6 linked regions of the Macaca fascicularis genome follow. The protein of the gene in region 1 interacts with the protein of each later gene in a biochemical or structural test. Links are inferred from orthologs where the notes say so. Each region holds a gene or a part of one and is shown on either strand. Other genes may lie near its edges.

Region 1 (4,765 bases):
AGCACTAAGCTAGGGAAGGGGTGGCACCCACCCAACCACTATGCCTTGGGACTCACTGGTGGTCCTTGTGGGCATTGAGCTGGCAGTCTCGGCAGGTGAGAGTATCACAGCTCTCACAAAACAGCACAAGGGGTTCATGCTTGTGTACGTTGCAATAGACGGTACGTTCACCATCCCGAGACTTGGCTGGCCCTGGGGAGTCGGAATCATAAGGCTGGACCTTGCCCTTCACCACCCCCAACTCAGGAAGCAGACTAAGTTGGGGCCTCATTTCCTGCCCATTCTGTGACACTGGGCCATTTATTGGGAAGATGTAGAGGGTGTGGCCAGCGAAGAACACAGGCCTGCAAGCCCAATTCCTTGCTCCCAGAAACCTCTGCCCCAACATAGCTGAGAAACACATCCCTTTCTTCTAGCTTCTAGAGGTGACACAAAGGTAAAGGTAAGGACAGCCTCCGGAAAAAGAGGACTACCCCCCCACACACACTGTTCCCTTTATTCTCCAAGTGGACATATTCAGAATTCTGCCTACAAACCACCCTGGACTCCTTTTCTTCTCCTTTCATGGTTAACTTCCTCCCTCTTTCGTGACAAGAAAACACCAGGGTCTCTTACAACCCAAGAGCCCAGAGAAAACCTGTAGAGGTTCTCATACTGGGAGAGATAAAATGTCAAACTAGGACCCTCAGAATGGTGGTCACACCCCCTCTAGACCAGGAGCTTGGTGCTCAGCATAATTCCACCCCAAGACCAACACATTAATAACCTTCAAAGCCTGCTTCCCCATTAGAAAACCGATTAAGCATAGTGGTCCAACATACCAACCAAATCCAAAATACGTAGCATCAGGGCTCACTGGGGAAACTGACTTCCCCAGTGCCACCATTCCTGCACCCTGACCTTTGCTTGGGACGTCTGGAATGTAGGACACCCTGCAGCCCCTGCCTATCCCTCCTGGCTCCTCAGGCCCCACAGCCGCCACTTTCCCACTATCTTCCACCAATGCTGGCCTCTGGGATGGGAAGAATCACGGTATGGCTACCAAAAGGCCACTCATGGGAGGATTTTGGCCCAAAAACTGGGCTACACTCAAAAGACTCTCAAGCTCCTTTCCAAATCAAAGCTAGCGAGTGTCTGCGAAAAGCTGGAAATGCCAAACCAAACTCCGGGTAAGTCTCTGCCAACTCAAAAGCTAAAACGTTTCCAGAAATCACCATCACTTATAACCCATGGACCCACAAAGTCTCATTTTCCCTAACAGCGTCTTATACCAGATGTGTGCCAGGGAACCACAAACCCAGTAAGCCCTTCACACCATGCCTTTCCCTGTTTGCATATTCTGAGCCCTTCAACACCAGGACTGAGAACTCCCTGATAAGCTTCCTCAAACCCTCTGTACCTCCCTGCAGCACATTAAGGTCTCCACGTCTCCCCTTCCCACCCCCTCCCACCTAAGCCCTAGAGACTACACACCACAACCACAATTTTCCTGCTTTTGGAGTTCTGCTCTCCGGCCCTTCGGGCGGCACCCCCTGGACAACTCTAGGACCCATCCACCAAATGCAACCAACATTATAAAAGCAACTGAGGGCACACACGGGAAAGCAACAGCCCCCTCAGCCTCACGTACCAGTAGAGCGCACAGTGTGATCCTTGGTGTACTTCACCCGCTGGTGCGCCTCTACACAGGTCTCACACAGAGGCTCCGAGCACTCCACACAGTAGCTGGTAGCTGGGGCATTATCCTCACAGCTAGTGCAGCACTGCCAGACAAAGGCAGGGTCAGAGAAAGCAAGACAACTTGCTAGATCCACATCTACACCTCAGAAAATACAACCCAAGATTAAGATTGGTCCCTTGACCCAGCCTAGACAGCCCACCCAGAGCCTTGGGAAAGTCGAGTAACAGCCTGGGAGCTGGTGTCAAGCTCCTCCTGGGCAGATGCCCCCTCCCCAGAAACCTCCCTGTGGTTGCTGCGGTTGGACGCACCTGGTTAGCATCCTGGGCGTCGGTGGCAGCCTTGCTGCCACTATCACGCATGAAATAATTCTCCACGATGTCTTTGGAGAAGCACTGTTGCTTGCACACGGGACAGTCCACCACTTCAAGAGGCAGGGATGTGGGAGACTGTTACAAGTTCCCACCCAAGTTATGGCCCCCCGCATCCCCGTGCTGGGTGGGCCCCCGACCATTACCCCGCAGCGAGCCAGCCCCTCCCCTCCCCGAGCCCTTTCTCCAACTTTAGTCAGATGTCTCATCTCAGCGGCCAGCTCAAACCCACGTTCCTATGCAGGACCCAGAAAGTACTCCCCGTGCACTGTCCGGGCCCCCATCCTCTTGCCCAGGTGGCATCCTCATCTCTGCACCCAGTGGGAATCAAAGGCAGAGAGTAGGGGGAGGGGTGGCCCCGATCACTTCGTACTTACCGGCGCCGTCGCCCGCAGCCCCGCCGTCCCCGGAGCTGTTGGCGGCGGCGGGCGCCGCGGGCCCTAGGCAGGCACTACAGGCCGAGTGCAAACAGGGCAGCAGGCGGGGCTCCCTCTCGGGTCGCAGGCGCTCTCTGCACACGCCGCAGTGCTCCAGCAGCTCCAGCGCCTCGGCGCCGCCCCCCGCGGGCGACGACACCGAGGCCGAGGCCGAGGCCGAGGCCGCGGTCGAAGAAGCGGTGGAGCGCTTTTCGCCGCCAGCGGAGCTCTCGCCCGGGCCCGGGCTGCCAGAGGCGGCCGAGGCCGCTGCTGCCGAGGCTGCCGCCGCCGAGGCCGCCATTCACACGCCGCCGGGGGCGCCCAGGGGGGAGGAGGGGCGCGGGGCCCGCCGCGCAGGCGCAGACGCGCTCGCCGCCAACTGCTGGGCCGCCGCCGCCGCCGCGAGGCCGAGCACCGCCACGCGCCTCCTGGGCCGCTGCCCGCCGCGCGCGGGACGCTGCTGCGGCACCGCCAACTGCTGCCTGCTCGCCTCCCGAAGGCGCCGCCCGCGCTTCTTCCTCAGCCGCCGCCGAAACCCTCACCACGCGCCACAAGCACAAGCACAACCGCTCGCCCGCGCGCCCGCTCGCAGAAAGAGCCGAGGCCGGGGGGCGGGACAGAAATAACTGGCGCCGACGCCGCCGCGCACGCGCATTGGGCGCCGCACGCCCGGGGGCGGGGCCCAGGCCGGTCGGGGCGGGAGAGGCTGCCAGTACGCACGCGCCCACTCCGGGTCCTTCCACCACGGCCAACCCCACGTCGGTGGGGTCTTGTGGGGGCGGGGCGGTCCCTCTGTGACGTCACTGCCGCAATTTAATCCGCCAGTGGGGTGTGCGCACCTTTATAGAGTGTGATTCCCCTCTCAGCTCCACCTCCAGACCACACCGAAGCGGGCCGCTGTGCGCCCAAGCGCATGGGCAGTCCGTAACTCTTCCTCAACCCGCGTCTTTTCGCTCGCGTAGAGTCGTCTCCAGCCTCTGCGTCACTAAGCGTTCGGGATAGGGGGCAGGGCCAATGGAGAAGTAGGCGGGGCCAAGACGGAGTAAAGGGCTGTGCCCCGGGAGAGGGGAGGACAGGCTCCATCCCAGGAGGGAGGAAGCGCCTGTGTGAGAGCAGGGGCTGACTTTTGAATTTTAACCACGTTATAGTTAAACTTGAGAAACACAGAAAGTTGCCTAAATCAAATGTAGATCACAGACGGGCGCCGTGGCTCATACCTGTAATCCCACCATTTTCTTAGGCGAATCGGGAGGCTCCGTTTAGCCCAGGAGGCCGGGGCAGCAGTGAGCCGGGATTGTGCCACTGCACGCCAGCCTAGACAACAGATCGAAAAAAATGTGGCCGGGCGCGGCGGCTCACGCCTTTAATCCCAGCACTTTGGGAGGTCGAGGCGGGTCGATCACCTGAGGTCGGGAGTTCGAGACCAGCCTGGGCAACATGGTGAAACCCCGTCTCTACTAAAAATACAAAAATTAGCCGGGCGTGGTGGCGGGCGCCTGTACTCCCAGCTACTCGGGAGGCTGAGGCAGGAGAATCGCTTGAACCCGGAAGGCGAAGGTTGTAGTGAGCCGAGATCGTGCCATTGCACTACAGCCTGGGAGAAAAGAGCGAAACTCCATCTCAAAAGAAGAAATCTTTTTGTGTTTGTTTTGAGACGGAGTTTTGCTCTGTTGCCCAGGCTGGAGTGCAGTGGCGCGATCTCGGCTCACTGCAACCTCTGCCTCCCGGGTTCAAGCAATTATCCTGCCTCAGCCTCCTGAGTAGCTGGGATTACAGACATCCGCCTCCACACGCCCGACTATTTTTTGTATTTTTAGTAGAGACTGACTTTCACCACTTTGGCCAGGCTGGTCTCCAACTCCCCACCTCAGGTGATCAACCCGCCTCGACCTCCCAAAGAGCTGGAATTACAGGTGTCAGCCACCACGCCGGCCCCCCTACCGCCCGCCGCAAAAACACACACACAAACTATAAATCACAAGAGGCTACAGAGCAATGAGTCTATGAAATCCCATCCAGCCCCCCAGGCGTCCCGTCCGCATGATTTAGTCAGTGGCTACCCTGACTTTGATGCTTTTCCAGATGGGGAAACTGAACCTCAACAGTGGGGAATCCCCAGGAGGGAAGGAAGCGGGTCCGTGTGGGGAGAATCCTGTCTGAGGAGGAAAGTAGGGTTTGTGTGGGGAGAATCCTGTCTGAGGGAAACAGGGTCTGTGTGGGGAGGTGAACCCTGTCTGAGGAGGGAAGCGGATCTGTGTGGGAAGAATCCTATCTGAGGAGGGCAGCAGGGTCCGTGTGGG
Region 2 (4,698 bases), on another chromosome or scaffold:
AAGAATCCCAGTAAAGAGGCTAGCTAGAATCAAGTGAAAAAGACGGATGTGAGGCAAAGTCTACCTTCTTCAAAAACATATTTGCCGTTATTTTAGGAAGCCAAACAAGGACAAGATGCAATCAATCATATGTGTAAGTTTAAGTTGCAAAAAGTGGTAAATATTTCTTTTTTCCTGAGACAAGGTCTCACTCTGTCACCCAGGCTGGGGTGCAGTGGCACGATCTTGGCTCACTACAACCTCTGCCTCCAGGTTGAAGCGATTCTCCCATCTCAGGTTCCTGAGTAGCTGGGATTACAGGTGCCCACCAATATGCCTGGCTAATTTTTGCGGGGGTTTTTGTTTTTTGTTTTGAGACGGAGTCTCGCTCTGTCACCCAGGCTGGAGTGCAGTGGTGCAATTTCTGCTCACTGCAACCTCCGCTTCCCGGGTTCAAGCAATTCTCTCTGCCTCCCGAGTAGCTGGAATTAGAGGTACCTGCCACCACGCCCACTTAATTTTTTTGTATTTTCAGTAGAGACCGGGTTTCACGATGTTGGCCAGGCTGGTCTTGAACTCCTGACCTCAAGTGATCCACCCACCTCAGCCGCCCAAAGGGCTGGGATTACAGACATGAGCCACTGCGCCCGGCCCAATTTTTGTGTTTTTAGTAGAGACGGGTTTCACCATGTTGGCCAGGCTGGTCTCAAACTCCTGGCCTCAAGTGACCCGCCCACCTCCGCCTCCCAAAGTGCTGGGATTACAGACGTAAGCCACTGGCACCAGATCAAGTGGTAAAAATTTTAATAAAAATTTCCTTTTATCAAATGGAACAATGATCAATTCTGTATCTAAGGAGATAAACATCAGGATTTAGCGATCCATTTACCAAAGGCCACTCCCTAAACACTTCAACCATCTTCTCTCACTTTTACCTATTTTCCAATTGGTAAAATAATGGATTTTGAAAAAATAATAAACTCTAGCATTTTATTTTTATTTTTTAGCAATGGGATCTTGTTGTGCTGCCCAGACGAGTGCAGTGGCTATTCACAGGCATAATCATTTCACACTGCAGCCTTGACCACCTGAGCTCAAGCCTCCTGCCTCAGCTTCCATAGTAGCTGGGACTACAGGAACACGAAACTGTGCCCTGCATACTCCAGAATTTTGGGAGAATGATTTTCAACCGAGGGAGATTTTATCCCCGATCCCTACCTCTCCGGACATTTGGCAATGTCTGTTAACAATCTGATTGTCACAAATGGGGATGTGGCGAGAGGTGCGATGTTACTGGCATACAGTGGGTAGAAGCCAGGGATTTTGCTAAATATTTTACTATGCACAGGACACCCCGAATACCCTTAACAAAGAATTATTATCTGCCTCAAAATATCAACAGTGCTAATGCTGAGAAATCTTGCTGCAGGTTAAGACTGTATTCCTTTCAAACCTAAATAAATCCAGGACAGATACCCTTAACCAGTATCACTTTAGTTCTCAGAAGCTCAGCAACCCCATTACTAGCATACCTACAAATAGGTTTAAAACCAGGGATAAATTATATATAAATACTTTATCCTTTTGCTAGTGCCAGAGAACATGGAAATTTTTCCTCTGTTCATAAACTGCTATTAAAATCGTTTGTCTTTGGTATAAAGTCGGAAAGGTCTCTAGTCATAAGTGTACTTCATAGGTAGTTGATTTTCAGTATTTAAGTATTTTCCCTTGATCCTGAATTATTGAACAAAGCAGTAAGACTCTGATACAGCCAATGTTATCAAAATTTATTTATTTCTCCAAAAGATCCTGGAATAAGCAGAGGGGGCATTACCAAAAGGAGATAGACTGCATGTAAAACACACTTCGAAGGAAATCTAATTAAAAGGCAAGGAATAATCCAGGTGATGGATGAGTCTTCTGTCCCCAGAACCCTAAATATTACCCTCTTTAAGCGTTTCTTTTTTAATCCAAAGTCAGATATCCTCAAATGAACATCAAAATGAGGGGTTTTAGGATATCTTTAATGGTGTAAAGAAAGGAAATGTATGAGAGGGAAAGTTCCCGGGAGAAAGAGACTAAAATAAAAGCACTGGGCACATGGATTATATAAATCAGAAAAAGGGTGGTAAGTATGTGATTATGATTAGAAACACAAAACAATTGACTTCATTTTTTATTTAATTTTAATCACAAATCATTAATCTTGCAAAGTTTTAAACATTAAAGAACCAGCCTGCCTCGATCCTACTGTGTCCCTAGGACTGACACACTTTGGTGTGTAGCTTTGGAAAACTTTTCTATGGACCTACAAACATATTGTTCGTGGAAATATGCACTATCAGGATATAGAGATTTCTCCTATTCGTTCTAACATTTTAACAGTCTTCCTAAAGAAGCGACTTCTGAAAGTATTATAAAAAAACAAACAAAAACCTCCTCTGTTCCCCAAACCTCAAGTGGTGAGGAGGCGGGGGAAAAATGGTCAAGTCGAGGAATACACGAGGAAACTTAGGCTTTCAGGGAGGTGTATGGGACTGAGGCCTAAAGGCTCCGTTAGAACATTAGAAAAGTCATTGTGGATAAAACATTCATCCTCACACGCCATTACAGGCACCGACTCCCCTTCCTCACAACCCCAAATCGAAGACCTCTCTCTTTTGGAGAGCCGATTGGACGACTGGTCCCAGTGCTTTCCTTAGGCTGTCCGTCTACTGGCTCCAGATTCGTTCCATCCGTTTAACCGCCCGATCCCGCATTCCCCATTGGAGTCAAACCGCTGCCTCCTGGAGAAGCCCAACCTACCGCGCGCTTCCTGCTCACTGGCTCAGTGAGACGCTGCTCAGAAGGGGAAAACCCATCTCCCACATTCCGATGGCCCAAGGGCCGATCAGTCGGCAGCTCAAGGCACACCCAATTGGCCTATACACAAGCCAGTCAAAGTCTTCGGCTGCACAGCTCCCAAGAACCTACAGGGATTAAAACATCCCGCCCCCTGTTCTCCTATTGGTTGACCCGATCCACCGCTGCCCCTTGACTATCCCCCACCCCGCGGTCCATTCATTTCACACAATAACGGGCCCAAATGGAGTCAGTTCAAGACCTACTATGGGTAGATAAGACTGTCTGCCACTTACCCGGGATTGAGAGTGATCACTCACGCTAACGTCTGCCCTGTTCCTGTTTGGTGAGGCCGCACCACTAGCCACCACCGCCGCCGCCTTCTGCGCAACGCCAACCGCCCGCCAAAACGGATCCTTCCCTGCGCCTGCGCAACCAATCCTGGGACCGGACCTTTTTTCTCCGCCCACTGCGCATGCGCAAAGCTAGAACCAACTCCCGCCAACACGCAGGCGCCGTAGGTTCACTGCCTAGTCCTGCCCGCCATTTCACGTGTTCCCAGAGGCAGGTGGAACTTCTTAATGCGCCTGCGCAAAATTCGCCATTTTGCTACACGTGCGGTCAACAAGCGTTCTTTGCAAAAAAACTGTGACCTCCTGGCTGCTTGTCTAATACATAGTGTTAATCATGCTTTGCCAAGCGACTTGACTGTAATATTTACGCGTGGAAGATGAAAAAGGCGTTAAACACCCCAGGTAGATTCAAACATGAATGATTGGTCGGTTGGCCAATCAGACTGGTTAACAGTAATATTACTCGAGAACCAATTGACTCCAAGGGGTGGAGACGCGTAGAACGCCCAAAGGAATGACGTTACACAGCAATGTGGCACCACAGGCCAATAGCAAGGGGAAGCGATTTCAAATGTCCAATCAGAGCTGTTCCAGGGCGGAGTCTACCAATGCCGAAAGCGAGGAGGCGGGGTAAAAAAGAGAGGCCGAAGGTAGGCTGGCAGATACGTTCGTCAGCTTGCTCCTTTCTGCCCGTGGACGCCGCCGAAGAAGCATCGTTAAAGTCTCTCTTCTCCCTGCCGTCATGTCTAAGTCAGAGGTGAGTTAGGCGAGCTTTCCAACTTGAATGTTTTTCGTCTCCCTTTTCTGAATCGGTAAGATGCGGCTTGGTTTCGTTCCTTGCACCAGCCGATTCTACAGTTAACTTCGGTCGCTGCCAAGGCCTACCCCTCCCAAAGTTCAAGTCGCCATTTTGTCCTCTTGATCGCCATGAGGCCGCTCTCCGCCAACCACGAGTTATCACGCGGGACTCGCTACTCGTAGCAAAATTCTTAGGCACACAGGATCTTTGTCTTTTTTTAAACCTTGCCTTGGTGAGCGAGATTTCTGAAGAGCGGTTAGTCCCATTATGGAGATGCACCCCTCCCGCCCAAGCCTTTGTTGCGCGTGCGTCGGAAGACGACTAGAGACGCATGCGCTTGCGATTTCCCAGCACTCCCAACCCCCAGCATACTGCCTCCCTTGGTGGGGAGAAGCACGTGGCCTGTTGCGACCTGAACAAACAATAAGTGCTAGGTACACAGTTGGTGTCTAGTTTTTCTTTTCCTTGATGGAAATTGTTTCGTGTTGTAGTCCATTTAACACTTCCCCCTTCTCCCACTCCAGTCTCCTAAAGAGCCCGAACAGCTGAGGAAGCTCTTCATTGGAGGGTTGAGCTTTGAAACAACCGATGAGAGCCTGAGGAGCCATTTTGAGCAATGGGGAACGCTCACGGACTGTGTGGTAAGAATTGGGACAAAGCAGTAAAATAGCCGAGATTTCCTTGGCATATCTTGGTGCAGTCCTCTCTGAATGCTTATGAAAGTTG
Region 3 (4,797 bases), on another chromosome or scaffold:
GACTCACCTCTATCTGGTAGACAGTTTTGCCCATTTCTGCTGGTACCGATGCCAGGTTTGGCATCGGTCACAGCACTCAGATTGCAATACACCAGAATAGGATTAACCCATGCATTTCCTCTACGGGAGGGAGGTAGTAGAGTGACTGGCAAGTCGAATGTTGCATGAGTGTGTCTATTTATAGCCCGCAAAATGGGGTGCTGCCCTGCAGGGACAGCTGGAGTGAAGGAAATGACACGCCTGGGAGAGTAACTTACTTCTGAGTCAGGAGCTTTAGAGAGATGAAGGAAGAAGCCTCCTGGGCCAGAGTTTTGGATGGAAAATGAACACCCAGTCAAGTCTCTAGGACTATAAGTGGGGCGGGGACTAGTTGTGAGCGCGAGTTAAGTAGGGGCCCTTACCAAGGAACATAGGACCTGGGTTCCCCAACCCTTTCGCTAGGTCCATGGCGTTGATCAGCCCTGAGCTAATTCCTCCATGCTGCCCAGAACCTCTCTGGGCCAAGCCCTGGGGACTCAGAGATGACAGCAATACTTCCATTGAGGAACTCCCATACGCGGGCCACAGGGAGGCTCTGGAGGCGGCCTGTGTATTAGGAGGGATCAGAACTACCCCACCCCCACCCTCACTCAGCCATCTGGGCTTCTCTGAACCCCTTCTCCTCCTCTGTTCCCTAAGGCCAGCCAGGGGGAGTCCCAGGGAGGCAGACCAAAAAGGGGTGGGGTGTCATCCTGGTCACTATTAGACCCTGGAACGGCGACCTTGAAAACTACTCAGCGTCTGTTGCCCGAGTGGAGCATAGTGCTTTACAATCACAGCAAACCATCAAGGTAGGGCTACTGTTATTTTATGGTTGAAAAACGGAGGTCCTGAGTCCCTTGGGGGCTGTGCCAGCAGCGGCCAAGTTGAGATTTCCCCTGGTTCAGCAGCCCCAGACAGCACACGGTGCAGGGTAGGCTTTCTGCTTCCTTCACTTCCCCAGGGCAGGTGAGTGACCTGGAGAAAGGGGGTCACCCCTAAAAACAGGGGTAGTGCTAGGACTGAAACTCTCCCTTCTTGATACCCCACTGGCAAGCTTGAGGAGCCAGGTTGCCAGTCGGGAGATTCGGCCGGTGTTCCCCCTGGAGAGGGCGGCAAGTGCCCGGGCGATCCCCTCACCTGCGTTCAGGAGATAGACCCCCGCCCCCAACCCGCCAGGAGGGTGAAAAGATGGCCCCAGGAGCCAGCCGGCTGGGAGAAGGCGGAGTGAGAGGAGAGGCTGGGGCCGGGGGTGCCGGGCTGTCCAGGGCAGCCCTCCTCCGGGCGAGCCGGAGCAGGGGTGGATGGGGAGCGCGCGGGGCGGGCCCGTGGTGGCCCCGGGGCGGTGGCGCCCGGCCGGAGAGGGTGGGGCGGAGCAGCCGCCCTGTACTTCCCCTTCGCCGCTAGCTCTACAACAGCCTGATTTCCCCGAAATGACGGCACGCAGTCGGCCAATGGGCGCCCGCGCGGCTGTCCGGAGGCGGGGCCGGCCAGGGCTGGGGAATCCCGCTAAGTGTTTGGATTGCTCGGTGGCGCCGCTGCCCTGGCAGAGCTCGCCACTCCTTCGTCGAGGCAGGACGTGCGCCCGAGCCCCGCCGAACCGAGGCCACCCGGAGCCTTGCCCAGCCCACGCCAGCCGTGCCCAGCGGCCTTGAGACCCAGACAGCCTCTGCCTTCTTCCCCCTTCCACCCGGAGTCGCGCTCCGCGCCCCCTCACGGCAGCCCCTGCGTCGCCGGGACCTTCGCGCGCCGCCGCCGGGACCTTCGCGCGCCGCCGCCGAATCGCTCCTGCAGCAAAGGTGAGTCCGCTTTTGCGGCGCGGGGGACCGGCGGCGTCGAATAAAAGGCGCGCGGGGCACCAGGAAGTGGGGGTTCGAAAACCCCAGGTTGGAGACTCGCGGGAGCGCGGCGTTGCCCGGGCCCCCGCGCGGGCTCCGGGGGGCGCCGGAGGAGCTGCGAGCCGCGGCGCGGGGAGGGCGGGCCGCGGCGTGGACCGCCCACCCGGACGAGGCTGCCGGCGCCGGGCAGCTTTCGCAGATATGCGTGCGCGCAGCCGCTGGGGGCCTGTAGGTGGCCCGCTACGTTCGTCCCGCGCATCCACACGCCGTGCCGGGGACCGAGTGTCCGCCCACGCGTGGGCGCCCAGTGCTCCCGGCTTTCGGCGGTCCCAGCTTCGCGCCCAGGCCCCAGGTTTTGGGCTCCCTGTGCTGGTGACAAGGGCTGGCTTACTGCCCAGGTGGCTGGAGGGAATCGTGACCTACGGAGACTGCGGGAAGAGGCGCCACAGGTGTTCCTTGGGCCGCTTCTCCAGAGGAGGGGAAACCGGGCCGGAAGGGTTAGCGTCCTAGTCTTAGCGTAGTGGGCTCTGTGACTGTCAGGAGGGCGTAGAATGGATTCAGGGGGGCTGTTCAGGGTGATGGCTAGCCCTTTACTAGCTAGTGGTGACAACTCAAGTCAAGGGAATTTCTTCTTGGCATCAAGCAAAAGAAGTCCCTCCCTTCCCAAAGGATTTGAATTTTGAGCGAAAAGTTCTGAAATTAGGATATCTGTGCATTTTCTCTCTTTTCCTGCACATGAATCCTAAAGCCATCACTTGCATGCCTGTCTCATCCAGAGACTGGCTGGGATGGAGGAAGGGGCAGAAGCATTTTTGCCTAAGATGCTGAAAAAACTTGGAGAGCAGTTTTATTCCAGGGCAGCTCCCCTCCCCACTGAGTGTAGTACCTAGTAGCTGGCTGAGGGGAGGGTAACTAAGTGAACTCGGGTGGGGCAGGTCAGTGCCCAGGTACTGTTCAACAGATTCCAGACTGGAGCCTCTGTCTTCTCTTTACAGCCAACATGCCCATCACTCGGATGCGCATGAGACCCTGGCTAGAGATGCAGATTAATTCCAACCAAATCCCGGGGCTCATCTGGATTAATAAAGTGAGTGTAACTCTTTGGGTTTTCCTGCCACTGTTTTAACCCATGTACTTCTGGAGGGACCAAAGCTTCAGATGCAGCTCAAAAAGGGAAGTGATAACAGGACAGGCAGATGTTTCTCCCAATGGGTCCTGCATGCAGGGAGGGAGTGTGCAAGGCCCAGCCTGGGCCTCACTTGCACGACTCCTGCTTTCTTCCCTTCTTGAGGTAGGGCACCCACCTGAAGGCACTTCCAGTTTCCAGCAGCAAGACTTTCCCAGCATCTGCAGAGCTGGAGTTCTGGTCTCCTCTGAGGGAGACCCTTACAAACATACACAGCACCTTGCAGGGCTCTAATCAAACAAATAGAAGACTTGAGAAGTGGATGCTGCTGGGCAGAAAGGTGGCTGGCTTAGCAGAGGACAAACGAATCAATCTTGCACCAGTCACTGTGGCCCAAGAAGCCTATAGCTGGTGCACTTGGGGCAACATAGACACTATAGGCTTAGTAGCAATGATAGTATTCATAATAATAGCTAATGCTTACTGAACACTCTCTGTGTGCCTGGCACCTGCTACGTATGTTATTTACATTGTGTCATTTAATCCTCGCAGTAGTCCTGTGGGGTAGGTCCTGTTCATGTCATCATTTTCAGATAAGTAAACAGAGGCACTGAGAGGAAGATTGTAAGATCACACAAAAAGTGATGAAGCCAAGATTTGAACTTGAATGGTCTGACTCAGAAATCTTTACTGTTAACCATCAGTGATAATAACAGTAAGACCTTAGACTTCATATTTGTCACTGTGTCCCTACACATTCTCTGGTTTTTAATTCTCAAAATTTTGTTGGATATGTTTTCTCATTTCAGAGAAGAGAAAACTGAGGGGAAAAGAGATACAGTGACAATGCCAGGGTTACACAGTGTTCACCATCCAAGTCTAGCTCCCTCAGTCGTATGACCAGGACCTCTTGTGTAGAAGCCCATGGTCCCAGGTGTCCTGAGGAGTCCTTTCTAATGGAAGAAGTTCTTACTTCCATGTTGGTGTTTACAAGCCAGAGAGAAACATCCCAGAGCTTCAAAATCAGGGCTTTGGGGGAGGGTGCCCTGTGTGGGTCCTAGCACATGTGTAACAGGCAGAGGGAGGTCTTTGTGAGCTAATAGTGCTGCAGCTCATCCGAACTAGGAGTCCCTCCTGAGAGATCCCGAGTGGTCTGTTTAAGCCAGCCTAAAGATGGGTCAGTCCAAGCCAGATGGCAGGGGGAAAAGGGGAAGTCAGCCTTTTCTCAGACCTGTCTGGCTGGGCAAGCCTGGGTCTCAGACTCAGCCCCAAAGTCTGTGGCCTCTGAGCTGACACAGCCTCGTGTATATGTGTGTGTTGTTCAGGAGGAGATGATCTTCCAGATCCCATGGAAGCATGCTGCCAAGCATGGCTGGGACATCAACAAGGATGCCTGTTTGTTCCGGAGCTGGGCCATTCACACAGGTGTGTGCCTGGGACTCAGGCCTAGGAAGGCCAGGGTAGAGACAAGAGGAGGCACTAACGTTAACACAGAGGCTCTTCACTGGGGTCCCTGAGCTCCCTGAGACAATATGCAGAATTACTGGGAACAGGGGCTGGTGGCAGACTAGTGTTTCTGGAGAAGAGAGTCCATCATTTCAGCAAATTCTCAAAGGGATTTCTAAAGCCAAGATCTTAGAAAGTGTGTGGCTTCAGGGGGGTTGTGGCTAGATGAGAGTTTTCCCTGGCAAAAGCATCTGTGAAAAGCAGCTGTAAGCCAGGGCACTGAAAGAGAGCCAGGTCTGCCTTCATGTTGACCAAGGCCCTTGGTCCAAGGCTCGTGTGGTTGGTAGCCTCCTTTATCCTTGAAAGATG
Region 4 (4,572 bases), on another chromosome or scaffold:
GCTGAGGTGGGAGCACCAATTCAGCCCGGGAGGTTGAGGCTGCAGTGAGCCATTATCACACCACTGCACTCCAGCCTGGGCAACAGAGTGCGACTCTATCTCAAAATAAATAAATAAATAATACGCATATCTTCTGTAGCCAAAATTAGCATGCTTCATCCAGGCCCTACTATCAAAATCTCACTATCTGAGGTCCCACTATCTAAGGTTACTTAGGAAGTGGGACACTTCAAAACACATCTTACATTTCTAAGTCTCTCTAGAAGTGTGACAGGTACTGACCATTTTTTAAGCTATCAGACATGATAAGCCCTTTTTTTTTTCTTTTCTGAGACTTACTTTTTTGAGACAGAGTCTCACTCTGTCGCAAGGTTGGAGTAGAGTGGCACAATCTCGGCTCACTGCAACCTCCGCCTCCCAGGTTCAAGCAATTCTCCTGCCTCAGCCTCCCAAGTAGATGGGATTACAGGCACCCGCCACCAAGCCTGGCTAATTTTTTTATTTTTAGTAGAGACGGGGTTTCACCTTGTTGACCAGGCTGGGCTCCATCTCCTGACCTCAGGTGATCCACCTGCCTCGGCCTCCCAAAGTGCTGGGATTACAGGTGTGAGCACCCAGTCGACAGCCCTCTTTTTAAAATATATCCCTGGTCCTCAAAGGCAGTTAAAGCTGTGAGCCACCTATAATAGCTGTAAATTAAAGCTTGAATAAGATTTCACCTGGGTGTGTTTCTAAAGTAAGAATCCTTAGGAATGTATTATTAAGAGGGGCCAGAGGCAACAGCAATGGAGTCATCGCCTTCCTTAACATGTCTGCTTAATATTCAAAAATAAATGTGATCATACAACTCCTTTACATGAATGATCTCCGCCAATCCATACTGTGGGACCAACGCCAGACAGCCTCCCAGTAAGAAGAGGAATCTAGATTGCAGGATGGGGGGCGGAGAAGAGATTTTAAAAATGGAGACATGCATTCCAAACCAAAGTAGTGGGATTATATTTGTTCAGGTCAGCTCTGAGCATCATGTGTCTTTTGTTTTGAGATGAAGTCTCACTCTTGTCGTCCAGGCTGGTGTGCAATAGTGCGATCTTGGCTCACTGCAACCTCTGCCTCCAGGGTTCAAGCAATTCTCCTTCCTCAGCCTCCCGAGTAGCTGGGATTATAGGCGCACACCACCACACCCAGCTAATTTTTGAATTTTTAATAGAGACGGGGTTTCACCATGTTGGTCAGGCTGGTCTTGAACTCCTGACCTCAGGCAATCCACCCGCCTTGGCCTCCCAAAGTGCTGGGATTACAGACATGAGCCACCGCGCCCGGTCCATCATGTGTCATTTTTATAGCGTACGTAAGTGCAGGAAATGTTAGGAAGGTGTATGGACAATCTGAAAACCCAGTTACCGTTTAGTTAAAAGTGTGGATCAGTTAGCTAGAAAACACCTGTGCACGACTGGGCACGGTGCCTCATGCCTGTAATCCCAGCACTTTGGGAGGCCGAGGCAGGCGGATCACCTGAGGTCGGGAGTTCGAGACCAGCCTGACCAACATGGAGAAACCCCGTCTCTACTAAAAAAAATTACAAAATTAGCTGGGCGTGGTGGCACATGCCTGTAATCCCAGCTACTCGGGAGACTGAGGCAGGAGAATCGCTTGAACCCGAGAGGCAGTGGTTCCAGTGAGCCAAGATCGCACCATTGCACTCCAGCCTGGGCAACAAGAGCAAAATTCCGTCTCAAAAAAAAAAAAAAAGAAAGAAAGAAAAGAAAAGAAAGAAAGGAAAGAAAAAGAAAATACCTGTGCACACCAACACAAACGAAAGGATGTTGTGTGACTTACAAAAACCTCACAAGAAGGGGTCCTTTGAGTCTCCCCTCGCCTTGACCCCTTGCTACTCACAATGAGATCAGCAGACACACAGTATCTGACGGGCAGCATCCACCACAGGAGGACTTCTCAGAAATGCCGAATCTCAGGACCCGTCCCAGAGCGACGGAAAGAGGGCACACGTCTTACCAAGATCCCCAATGATTCCGGTGCCCAGTGACGTTCGAGATGCACCCCACAGAGCATTCGAAACCATTCTACAAACAACTTTTGAGCTTTCCACTAATTGGGTGGGGGCTGCACACACCGTCATTGCAAATGGATTAGGGTTTTGAAGCCCTGGGTGTTTCCTCTTTCTGGCACAGCATGGCAACGGTCCCAGCAAGGGGCAGCCCACGGGAGCTCCTTTGCACACCAGGCTGCTCCTAAAGGCTCTGGACACACAGGAGACCTCCCAGCCTGCTTGGGAGGGGGACACTCGCTCCTAACAAGTCTCGTTTCGGGTCAGAGATACTGGATTAGAAACCTGACTTGGGCGCCTCATCACAGAAAGAGAGAAAGAAGAGATGGGGACGGAAGGCACCTGAGCCAGCACTTCCTGTCTGAGGCCAGGGCGGGTATGACGGGCAGGCCAGGTGCCGGCTGAGAGGGGCACGAGGATGGAATCCGGCGTGCACCTGCGAGACGGACCCCCAGGTGGCCCCTCCAAGGTCAAGGGAGGGGGTGAGAACTTGAGTGAGGCTGAGCCAGCTTCCGCAGAGAGGGGCCACCAGACGGAGAGCGAGAGAGGCGCCCGGACATCAGACGGACGGACAGAGGCTGACGCAGGAGGACCAGAGGGCCCAGCGCCGGACAGGCTCCCCGGGCGGACGGACAGACAGACAGACAGACAGACGGGCCCCGCCCGAGGCGACTCACAGGTGCGCGATGCCGGCCTTGCGCACAGCGGAGGAGATGGCTTTGACGGCCGTGCAGAGCGAGTTGAGCAGCTGGGTCAGCTCACCCGTGCCGCGGGCCTTCCTGCCCTCCTCCATGACGAAGCGGGTCAGGGTGTTGACATCCGTGTCGAAGGGCGCCTGGTCAGCCATGCTGGGGCCGGGCCGCGGGGCGGCAGGTGCGGGGGCAGGTGCGGGGGCAGGTGCGGCGGCAGGTGCGGCGGCAGGTGCGGGGGCAGGTGCGGCGGCAGGTGCGGGGGCAGGTGCGGCGGCAGGTGCGGGGGCAGGTGCGGGGGCAGGTGCGGCGGCAGGTGCGGGGGCAGGTGCGGCGGCAGGTGCGGCGGCAGGTGCGGCGGCAGGTGCGGGGGCAGGTGCGGCGGCAGGTGCGGGGCGGGACCTGGCGGGAAGACGGACAGACCGACTGCGGCCCCGAGTGTCCGCGGCGCTCGCGGTGAGACTGGGCCAGGCCGGGCGCGGGCGGGTGAACCGGGAACCTTTAGCCGCGGGTCGGCCCCGCCCCCGCCCCCGGGAACACCCCGCGCCGCCTCCCACCGCCCAGCCCGCGGCTCCGCCCGCCGGATCTTCGGACCCTCCCCGCGCCGCCCTCGCAGCCTCCGCGCCCTCCATCTGCGCTGCGGGGCGGGGCTCGGGCCGTCGGACCCGCCGGAGAGAAAAGCTGTTTCTTTGCAGGAGTTTCCTCCACAATCATGACGCGGAAGTTCACAGAGGTTGAGTAACTTGCTCAGCGCCCCAGTTGGGCAGCGAAACCCCCAGCAGCCCCCGCTCCGCAGACCCGCCCGCGCGGCCTCCTGCCCGGCCCCTGCCCAGGCCTGTCCACCTGCCCGTCCTGTCACTGGCCCCCTGTCCACCTGCCCGTGCTGTCACTGCCCCCCTGTCCACCTGCCCGTCCTGTCACTACCCCCCTGTCCACCTGCCCGTCCTGTCACTGCCCCCCCGTCCACCTGCCCGTCCTGTCACTGGCCCCCCTGTCCACCTGCCTGTGCTGCCCCCCTGTCCACCTGCCCGTCCTGTCACTGCCCCCCTGTCCACCTGCCCGTCCTGTCACTGGCCCCCCTGTCCACCTGCCCGTGCTGTCACTGCCCCCCTGTCCACCTGCCTGTGCTGTCACTGGCCCCCTGTCCACCTGCCCGTCCTGTCACTGCCCCCCTGTCCACCTGCCCGTGCTGTCACTGCCCCCCTGTCCACCTGCCCGTGCTGTCACTGGCCCCCTGTCCACCTGCCTGTGCTGTCACTGGCCCCCCTGTCCACCTGCCTGTGCTGTCACTGCCCCCCTGTCCACCTGCCTGTGCTGTCACTGGCCCCCCTGTCCACCTGCCTGTGCTGTCACTGCCCCCCTGTCCACCTGCCTGTGCTGTCACTGGCCCCCCTGTCCACCTGCCCGTCCTGTCACTGCCCCCCTGTCCACCTGCCCGTGCTGTCACTGCCCCCCTGTCCACCTGCCCGTCCTGTCACTGGCCCCCCTGTCCACCTGCCTGTGCTGTCACTGGCCTCCTGTCCACCTGCCCGTCCTGTCACTGGCCCCCCTGTCCACCTGCCTGTGCTGCCCCCCGTCCACCTGCCCGTGCTGTCACTGGCCCCCCTGTCCACCTGCCCGTCCTGTCACTGCCCCCCCGTCCACCTGCCCGTCCTGTCACTGCCCCCCCGTCCACCTGCCCGTCCTGTCACTGCCCCCCCGTCCACCTGCCCGTCCTGTCACTGCCCCCCCGTCCACCTGCCCGTCCTGTCACTGCCCCCCCGTCCACCTGCCCATCCTGTCACTGCCCCCCTGTCCACCTGCCTGTGCTGTCAC
Region 5 (3,785 bases), on another chromosome or scaffold:
GAGGAGGCCCCGCCCCACGTTGACGCTGCCGTCAGCCCTGGACCACTACGGCCGGGTTCCCGGATGTGCTTTCCAGACGGCCATCTTGGGAATCTAAAGGATCGGAGGCATTTTGCAAGGAGATTCGAATCAAGTCAGCTGCGGGGAGTCTTAGACCTGGCCAGTCCACAAGGTGAGGGCCCTGAGGAAGAACTGAGGGACCTCCCACCATAGAGAGATGAAATCCCGGCCTGCACTGCCGCTGCAGTGGGACTGGTAGGTCCCAGACAGGAAAATGCCCACAGAAGAAGGGAGGAGGTGCCAGCCCTCTAGGGAATAAATAGGAAGACATTGAGGAGGACTGGGGGAACCCCCATCTCAGAGGACAGATTCCCACAGATTCCCACCCTGCTCCTCGAGAATCAGCCCTCGTAGAACTCCCCTGCCAGCTCAGGCTGAGTGGCAGCCATCTCATTTCTGGGTGAGGGGTGGAGGGGAGGCAGAGGCCTTGTTCTGGGGGTCCCGTGGCAAGTCAGCACGGGGAGCTGCCTCTGGTTGGCAGAGGGAAGATTCCCAGGCCCTGCTGGCGATAAGACAGAAGACAGGAGTCACATGTGCATCAGAACGGACGTGAGGCCACCCAGACCACCTCCATGGTAGAGTCCTGGGAGGTGGCTGCCACTGCACTACCTCCCACTGCTCTCAGGGATGTGGAGGTTGCTAGGAGGTTTTGCCTTAGGCCAGCAGAGTGGTGGGGGCTTGACCCTCTCTGAGAAGCCGTGAGGTTTCCAATTAAATTCTGAGGGGGCCATGCAGTCCAGAACTATGGGGCTCTGGGATTCTGGCCAGCCCCAGCTGTCAGCCCTGGGAGGCCCAAGACTCTACTTGTAGTCTTTAACCTGAGGGGCTCCGTCACTTCCTCTTGCAGGTGCTCCAGGAACCAGGTGGTGACAAACTGGGTGTGAGGCACACATCCTAAAGTCAGCACAGCAGAGGAGACCCAGGCAGTGCCAGGAGTCAAGGTGAGTGCACACCCTGACTGTGTACCAAGGGCCGTACCCCCAGAAACAGAGGAGACCCCACAGCACCCGGCCGTACCCACCTACTGTTATTCCTGGGGTCTCAGGCTCTGCCTGCCAGCTGTGCCCTGAGGTGTGTTCCCACATCCTCCTACAGGTTGCCAGCAGACAAACTCCCTAGGAAGACAGGAGACCTGTGAGGCCCTAGAGCACCACCTTAAGAGAAGAAGAGCTCTAAGTTGGCCTTTGTCAGAGCCATCATGGGTGAGTTTCTCAGCTGAGGCCATTCACACTGTCACTCTCTTCCACAGGCCTGTTGGATCTCATCATCCATATCCCTGTTGATACCTTTACCTGCTGCGCCTGAAGAAGTCGTTATGCCTCCCATTCCGGGCGTTCCATTCCACAACGTTGACGACGACTCTCCGGCCTCAGTTGAGTCAGAGGACTGGGTAGATGCACAGGATCCCACAGATGAGGAAGAGGAGGAAGCCTCCTCCATTTCCTCTTCCACTTTCTACTTAGTATTTTCCCCCTCTTCCTTCTCCTCATCCTCTTCTCTGATTCTTGGTGGTCCTGAGGAGGAGGTGCCGTCTGATGTGATACCAAGTCTTCCCGAGAGCACTCCCAGTAGTCCTCCACAGAGTCCTCCACAGGGTCCTTCCCAGAGTCCTCTGAGCTCCTGTTGCTCCTCTTTTTCATGGAGCTCATTCAGTGAAGAGTCCAGCAGCCAAAAAGAGGAGGATACAAGTACCTGTCAGGGCCTGCCAGACAGTGAGTCCTCTTTCACACATACACTAGATGAAAAGGTGGCCGAGTTAGTGGCGTTCCTGCTCCTCAGGTACAAAGCAGAGGAGCCTGTAACAGAGGCAGAGATGCTGATGATTGTCATCAAGTACAAAGACTACTTTCCTGTGATACTCAAGAGAGCCCGTGAGTTCATGGAGCTCCTTTTTGGCCTTGCCCTGATAGAAGTGGGCCCTGACCACTTTTCTGTGTTTGCAAACACAGTAGACCTCACTGATGAGGGTAGTGATGATGAGGGCATGCCGGAGAACAGCCTCCTGATTATTATTCTGAGTGTGATCTTCATAAAGGGCAGCTTTGCCTCTGAGGAGGTCATCTGGGAAGTGCTGAATGCAATAGGGGTGTATGCTGGGAGGGAGCACTTCATCTATGGGGAGCCCAGGGAGCTCCTCACTAAAGTTTGGGTGCAGGGGCAATACCTGGAGTGTCGGGAGGTGCCAAACAGTTCTCCTCCATATTATGAATTCCTGTGGGGTCCGAGAGCCCATTCAGAAAGCATCAAGAGTAAAGTACTAGAGTTTTTAGCCAAGCTGAACAACACTGTCCCTAGTTCCTTTCCATCCTGGTACAAGGATGCTTTGAAAGATGTGGAAGAGAGAGCCCAGGCCATGACTGATACCACAGATGATGCCACTGTCATGGCCACTGAAAGCCTCAGTGTCATGTCCAGCAACCTCCCCTTTTCTGAGTGAAGTCTAGGATAGTTTCTGCGCTCTGTGTTTGAACAAGGCAGTTTAGGTTCTAGGTAGTGGAGGGCCAGGTGGGGCTCGAGGAACATAATGTTCTTTGCATTTCTGTCCCATATGGGCGATGTGGAGATTTACCTGTTTTTCAGTACTTTTTGAATGCTTTTCCTTTGAATAGCAGGTAGTTAGCTTCAGAGCATTAATTTATGAATATTGGTCACACATGTATTGCTGTTTATCTGGTTTAAGAGTAACAGTTTGATATTTTGTTTAAAAAAAATGGAAATACCTTCTCCCTTATTTTGTGATCAGTAACAGGGTAGTGTGGTATTGTAATAGGCTTTTTGTTTGTTTGTTTGTTTGTTTGTTTGTTTTTTACAATACGCAATAACTCAGCAGTTAAATAGTGGGACAACGTGAAGGATGGTCAATATTTTCATTTCCTTGTCCTGCTTATTCTTTTGTTCTTGAAAATTAAAGATATATACCTGGCTTTGCTTAGCTTGTTGAAGAAAGTAGCAGAAATTAAATCTTAATAAAAGAAAGCCCCACTGACTCCTTTATTTGCTGAGCATTCTTTCAGTATTTGCTTGTGGAAGTCACTGTTAGTAGTGGGGATGCTAATGAAAGCATGACTTATCTCTATCCATAAAACAGTAGAGTCTAGGAGCAGAAGCCATATCAAGAAGGTGGTAAGATGTTCTCTACAATCTAAAGAACAAGTTAAAAAGGGGCTGGGGAGGTGAGACTCCACATGCAAGCCTTCAAGTGTAAAGGTCTTGAGCTAAGGCAGCTTGGGGCTTTGGAAAACTGCAGTTGCTTTTCTGAGGGCTGGTAGTTACAAAGCTGGGTGGTGGCTGGGACCAGACTCTCGGAGGGTGAGGGAAGAGCCTGGAATGGGGAATTGCTCTGAGCAGTTGCTTCTGGGTGGAGGATGAAGCAGAGAGGAGTCTCCACATGGGGAAGTAATGGAAGGTGTCCTGTGGCTCTGTAACTGGTGAGTTTGAACACAGTGCAAGAACCAGGTGATTGATATCCATCATCTGCAAGGGTTTCCTGAGAAATGTAGTGATAATCCCTTGAAGTGGTGCCCAGAAGCCTCTAGGCTGACTCACTTACCTGGGAGAGCCAGAGCCTACTCCATGGAAAGGCCATTTAATTAGGTGATTTTGAATCTAATGTGGGCAACTCCAAGCAAGGGCTAGATTTTTAGTGGAGGATACATAAAACTAGTGCTTTGGATGGATGAGCATTGGGGAAGGCGAAAAGGAGTTGGTCCTTGACTCAAATTCCA
Region 6 (4,608 bases), on another chromosome or scaffold:
AGAGAAAGCACACTAAAAGAATAAGAGAATTAAAAGAAAAACGCTGAGAGGAAGGCGAGCCATGAAAATGGCGGCCGCCAAATCCGGTTCCCGGGAGAGAGGGGGAGGGGAAGCTCCGCAGCCTCGCTCACGGGTACCCGCTGCCCGCCGAAACACTCGCCGCGGAGACGCCGTGGCCCCCAAAGCATCGTGCTTTAAAAAGGGAATAAGAATTCCCGCCTCCGCGCCCCACTTTCACTCCAGCGGGGCAGCGTCCGCCATGTGAAAGCTCCCCATCCCCCACCCCCAGTGAAGGGAAATGGCGCCGGGAGGCCGAGGGTGGGGAAGCTTGTTTGTACGCTCAGGCCTCCGGTCAAGACCCCGTTCATAAACCTCAAGCCCCACTGCTACTGAAGCGGTCCGATTTCCTGCCGCTCTCCCACGGAGGCGGCCGGCCGACTTCCACAAGGGGGCCAACGGCCTCGCCATGCCCTTTCCAATAACTCATTGATTTCAAACCCGTTACCTCCATCGCGGACTCAGTCGCTTCAGCCCGATTTCCCGCAGCCGAGCGAGATGAGAGAGATCTCCGCGGACGAACACGAACCGGACTCGTCCTGGCGCTGTAGTGAGAACTGCCTCTCCTCGAGAAACAACACCGCTAGGAGTACCTCCGCACGGGACCCGGCGCTGCTGCTACTGCCGCTAGAGCCGCTGCCGCCGCTTTTCTAGAACCTTCCCCCCCACTAACGCGTCTTCCTCTACGTCAGGCCGTTGCGTAAACGCCCTAACCGCCGCCAATGGCGGGAAGGCTCTACGCCCCTCCTTACGCCAAATGCGTACTCCTCCCCCTCCTGTGGCCAGCGACAGTGCCCGACGTTACTTCCGTAAATGCGCTCAGTGAATTGCGGAAGGCTCGAGTCCCGCGAGTTACTACCTCTCGGAATAGGGTCCCGCCCCCGGCCTTGGCGCAAGGCAGGTGAGAAACGGTCGCGCAGTTTGAAATTAACGCCGACGGGAGGAGCTTAATCCGGAGCCCGGAGTTCCAGCCCTCTCAACCTGGGAGGTGGTCCCTGCAGCTACGCCTTTGATAACCCCCGCCAGAAAAATCGTAGTATAATATGAGCCTTCCCTTTTCGTTTTTCGTGTCCCAACTCGGCGGATTGACTCGGCCCCTTCCGGAAACACCCGAATCAACTTCTAGTCAAATTATCGTTCACGCCACACTGACCTAACCCTGACCCGCGTCTATGCAGCTGACCCCTGGGGTACAGGAGGGGTCTCTGCTGAAAGTGGTCCCAAAGGGGTACTAGTTTTTAAGCTCCCAACTCTCTCTCCCCAAGCGTTTGGAGGATTCCGCACCCTCGCACCGCAGGGGCGAGGAAGTGGGCGGAGTCCGGTTTTGGCGCCAGCACTGAGGCTGCAAAGCAGAAAAGCCACCGCTGAGGAGACTCCGGTTACCGTCCTCGCCCCTCCTCCCCCCTCCCTCCCCTTGGGGACCACCAGGCGCCACGGGGCGAACGGTAAGTGCCGCGGTCTTCGCAGCCGCCCTCCCCCTAGGGCCCCAATTCCCAGCGGGTGCGGCGCGCGGCCCCTCCCCCCCGCCGGGCGCGCGCCCGCTGCCCCGCCCTTCGTGGCCGCCCGGCGTGGGCGGTGCCACCCCTCCCCCCCCCGGCGGCCCCGCGCACAGCTCCCGGCTCCCTCACCCCTCGGATGTGGCTCGAGCTGTAGGCGCGCAAGGCCGGAGACGCTGCAGACCCGCGACCCGGAGCAGCTCAGAGGCGGTGAAGTCGGTGGTTTTCCTTCTCTCTAGCCCTCGCTCGGTGGTGGTGCATCAGATGCTGCACGCGCCCCGGGGGCCCGCTTCTCCGCTCCCCTCCCTTCCTTGCCGGACACCGCGCCGGGAGCTGCGGGAAGGAGTGGAGAGGGTCGGGCGGTGGCCTCGCGGCTGACCTGGCTCGGGGCCGGCGCCGGCAGTTAGTGGGGGGACTGTTCGGTCCTCGAGGGGGTAGGGAGCTGTGGCGACGGTCGCCCTATTTCGAGACAAAGCGCATTTTCCCTCCCCTCCCCCACCAGCGTTCCGGCGGAGGCGCCCCCTCCCCCAGCCGCCACGCGGGGCTGGGTCGAGACTTGGGCCTCCGGGAGGGCGGCGCGTGGTCCCGTGTCCGCGAGGCCTGGCGGCGCGCGGCCGACTGTCCCGAGGTTGCGGCGGCCGTCCCGTTAACGTGGCCGCCGCGGGGGGTAGGCGCGTGCCGTGTGGCGCAGTGCCCTTGAGCCCCCGCGCCGCGGCCTTTGTTTCTCCCTGCGGATGCGCTGACCACGAGGCCCGCGCTCCCGGGTGGGGGCGGGCAGCTGCGCTTAGGCCTCGGGACGCAGAGCTCCAGCGGAGAGGGTCGGAGGCGGAGGGGGAGCGGGTGTGTGCAAAAGGTGATTGCGTCTTCAAAGTGTCACGAAACGGGGTTGAAGCATCGTTAAGTTTTTTCCTTTAGTTAGTTAACTGCTGATTGGAAAAAGAGAGGGTTTCTGAGCAGAAACAAACTTAGGATTGCAGAACAGAGAAGATTCACAGGGGTTTACAGTTGTGAGTTGTTTGGGTAATCGTGCATGGTTTTAAACCGAAAGGATTGTCCTTTAAAAATGGAACATGGACTTGATTACAAATGGGATTTAGATTAGAAAAGATATTTGTCCCCTATGTTAAGCCATGTGAAGCTGCCTTAGGTACCAAGATCCCCAGTAAAGTCTTTCTAGACTCACATGTTTAGAACACGTACTTACGTGCATCATAAGCAATGTAGGTAGGAGCGCAAATCTACTCTGGATTTGTATCAACGTTTGAAATGTGCGCTCCCTACTTGGGGGTTGGAATCCAAACAGAACTTGTATTTAGTTACCTTTTTTGTGTCGTGCAAACTTCTCTTAACTGTCATGCATTTTTCTAGTAATAGTTCTTCAAGTCTGCAATAAAAAATGGCCTCCAATAAAACTACATTGGTAAGTTAATGAAAAGCTAAAGTATGTAAGGATTTAACCCAAGGTTTTTTCCCCCAAAGTATAACTTTGCATCTTTGTGGTTGAGAAATTTACATCGACATATTTCCCAGCTCTCCCAGTATAATTATAGGGGAAAATTAGGAGCAAAACGAATTCATTACATGGAGATACTTGCTGACTTGACTTAATAGCGTCTTAACTAGTTTAATCTTTGAAGGACAGTGCAATGTGGATTTTGCTGAGGATTTTTATCTTCAGATAGAAATACCCACGTTTTTGCAAAATATTACATAAAATAATAAAGCCCTTGTTGGTTGGCATAATTTTCCTTAAATCCCCAGAATTCTGGAGAAGTATTTTCATTAAAGCCAAATTTGAAGAACCAGGTACCTTGTGCACCTAGGTTGGAGCAAGTTAGTGAATCTTTCAAATGGCTTTGGTCACTTTATCTTGTTTTAACTTACTCTGAAATATAGAAGAATCTTGAATACAATTCATTGCGGTGTTTTGTTTTTTTTAAAAAAAATGATCGAAATAGCAAATACGATCCAGAAGGGAGAAAAGGCTAGATTTTTTGTATCTTCTTCAGCTATGTCATGTTACAAGTTTTTTAAAACCTTGGAATATTCACATAAAAATCATGAAATTCAAAGTTACAGTTTTCACAATATTTAACTCTCAACATATTGCATTAATCTTAAGCGCGTAAAGGTGAATGTTAATGTCTCCTAGGTAAAGTAAAGCATTTGTTTTTGGTCTGTATATGTTCTCTCTGGGTTTCACACTAGAAAGGGCACGTTGGTGATTTTTAATTTGTGCCATCATTAGATTCTATGTTAAGTCAGATACCCTGGAAAACAGAATTTGTTTTTGCATGCAATTGATACTCTTTGGGGTCTGTTATTTATTGGTATTTAAATAGTTTATTTTGTGAGGGATCACAGGTTGGCCACTTTAAAACTTTTTTTAACTTTTCATTTTAAAAATTCATTAGTGTTGTGAGATATATGTACTGTTAATTTCACTTAAATAATGGGAAATTTATTTTGACTCAAATCCACATTTGGAAAAAAGTACTGGGTTAAGCCAAACATATACTACAAAAGAAAATGGTGAGCATTTGAAACTAGCTTATGAATGCCATAGTAGTAAATACTGTATGGTATTTTGTCTGCCCCTTTTTTTTTTCTTTTTTTTAACCTTAGTATGTATCCTTTTCATTTTCTATACTTATTTTTTACTTCTTTATTTTGTTAGCCTTCTCCCTTTGTGGCAGTAGCTGTTTTGTTTTTCATGTAGTATAGGTATCTAATACACTTCTGTCTCTTCCAATTTGTTTTTGCTTCTCCCACTATTATTTCTACCTTCTTGTACTGTACAATGACAGAAATCTGTTTGGGCCCAGTACTCAAGTATCTTGACTAATGAGAATCATAAGACCTGACTTGGAAATGGTATCCGAGAAAGTCAGGTGTTTGCTGCATTTTTTTGTATTCCAGGGGAGTGTGTGTGTGTGTGTGTGTGTGTGTGTGTGTGTGTGTGTGTTACCTATATGCTTGCTTGCATAGCTTGAAATGTCATTTTGCAGTCTTGAGGCCTTTCTTACATGTGTGTCTGCGCACTTCATATGCCTGC

The links.
Region 2: the proteins of TRIM28 (region 1) and CBX5 form a complex in vitro, tested with the Homo sapiens proteins (6 studies listed by BioGRID, with this or other methods). The link is inferred for Macaca fascicularis from reciprocal best matches to the Homo sapiens genes TRIM28 and CBX5.
Region 3: the proteins of TRIM28 (region 1) and IRF1 form a complex in vitro, tested with the Homo sapiens proteins (2 studies listed by BioGRID). The link is inferred for Macaca fascicularis from reciprocal best matches to the Homo sapiens genes TRIM28 and IRF1.
Region 4: the proteins of TRIM28 (region 1) and FBP1 form a complex in vitro, tested with the Homo sapiens proteins (2 studies listed by BioGRID). The link is inferred for Macaca fascicularis from reciprocal best matches to the Homo sapiens genes TRIM28 and FBP1.
Region 5: the proteins of TRIM28 (region 1) and melanoma-associated antigen C2 form a complex in vitro, tested with the Homo sapiens proteins (3 studies listed by BioGRID and IntAct). The link is inferred for Macaca fascicularis from reciprocal best matches to the Homo sapiens genes TRIM28 and MAGEC2.
Region 6: the proteins of TRIM28 (region 1) and CBX3 form a complex in vitro, tested with the Homo sapiens proteins (2 studies listed by BioGRID). The link is inferred for Macaca fascicularis from reciprocal best matches to the Homo sapiens genes TRIM28 and CBX3.

Annotation. Positions count from the first base shown.
Region 1 is NC_088393.1:66,277,286-66,282,050, reverse strand, and holds the start of TRIM28 (transcription intermediary factor 1-beta), read right to left. Parts: upstream 3,062-4,765; 5' UTR 2,767-3,061; coding exon 2,427-2,766; intron 2,103-2,426; coding exon 1,990-2,102; intron 1,764-1,989; coding exon 1,631-1,763; intron 193-1,630; coding exon 57-192; intron 1-56. UniProt on the Homo sapiens protein: Nuclear corepressor for KRAB domain-containing zinc finger proteins (KRAB-ZFPs).
Region 2 is NC_088385.1:61,123,195-61,127,892, forward strand, and holds the start of CBX5 (chromobox protein homolog 5), read right to left. Parts: upstream 3,232-4,698; 5' UTR 3,117-3,231; intron 1-3,116. Other genes in the region: HNRNPA1 (heterogeneous nuclear ribonucleoprotein A1), read left to right, coding at 3,916-3,930, 4,497-4,613. UniProt on the Homo sapiens protein: Component of heterochromatin that recognizes and binds histone H3 tails methylated at 'Lys-9' (H3K9me), leading to epigenetic repression. In contrast, it is excluded from chromatin when 'Tyr-41' of histone H3 is phosphorylated (H3Y41ph).
Region 3 is NC_088380.1:139,014,837-139,019,633, reverse strand, and holds the start of IRF1 (interferon regulatory factor 1), read left to right. Parts: upstream 1-1,566; 5' UTR 1,567-1,817; intron 1,818-2,851; 5' UTR 2,852-2,856; coding exon 2,857-2,943; intron 2,944-4,307; coding exon 4,308-4,407; intron 4,408-4,797. UniProt on the Homo sapiens protein: Transcriptional regulator which displays a remarkable functional diversity in the regulation of cellular responses.
Region 4 is NC_088389.1:128,433,433-128,438,004, reverse strand, and holds the start of FBP1 (fructose-1,6-bisphosphatase 1), read right to left. Parts: upstream 3,232-4,572; 5' UTR 2,916-3,231; coding exon 2,746-2,915; intron 1-2,745. UniProt on the Homo sapiens protein: Catalyzes the hydrolysis of fructose 1,6-bisphosphate to fructose 6-phosphate in the presence of divalent cations, acting as a rate-limiting enzyme in gluconeogenesis. Plays a role in regulating glucose sensing and insulin secretion of pancreatic beta-cells.
Region 5 is NC_088395.1:148,297,817-148,301,601, reverse strand, and holds melanoma-associated antigen C2, read left to right. Parts: upstream 1-1,322; 5' UTR 1,323-1,375; coding exon 1,376-2,497; 3' UTR 2,498-2,854; downstream 2,855-3,785. UniProt on the Homo sapiens protein: Proposed to enhance ubiquitin ligase activity of RING-type zinc finger-containing E3 ubiquitin-protein ligases.
Region 6 is NC_088377.1:104,102,512-104,107,119, reverse strand, and holds the start of CBX3 (chromobox protein homolog 3), read left to right. Parts: upstream 1-1,377; 5' UTR 1,378-1,502; intron 1,503-1,690; exon of another isoform or gene 1,691-2,406; intron 2,407-2,921; 5' UTR 2,922-2,949; coding exon 2,950-2,973; intron 2,974-4,608. Other genes in the region: HNRNPA2B1 (heterogeneous nuclear ribonucleoproteins A2/B1), read right to left, coding at 506-511.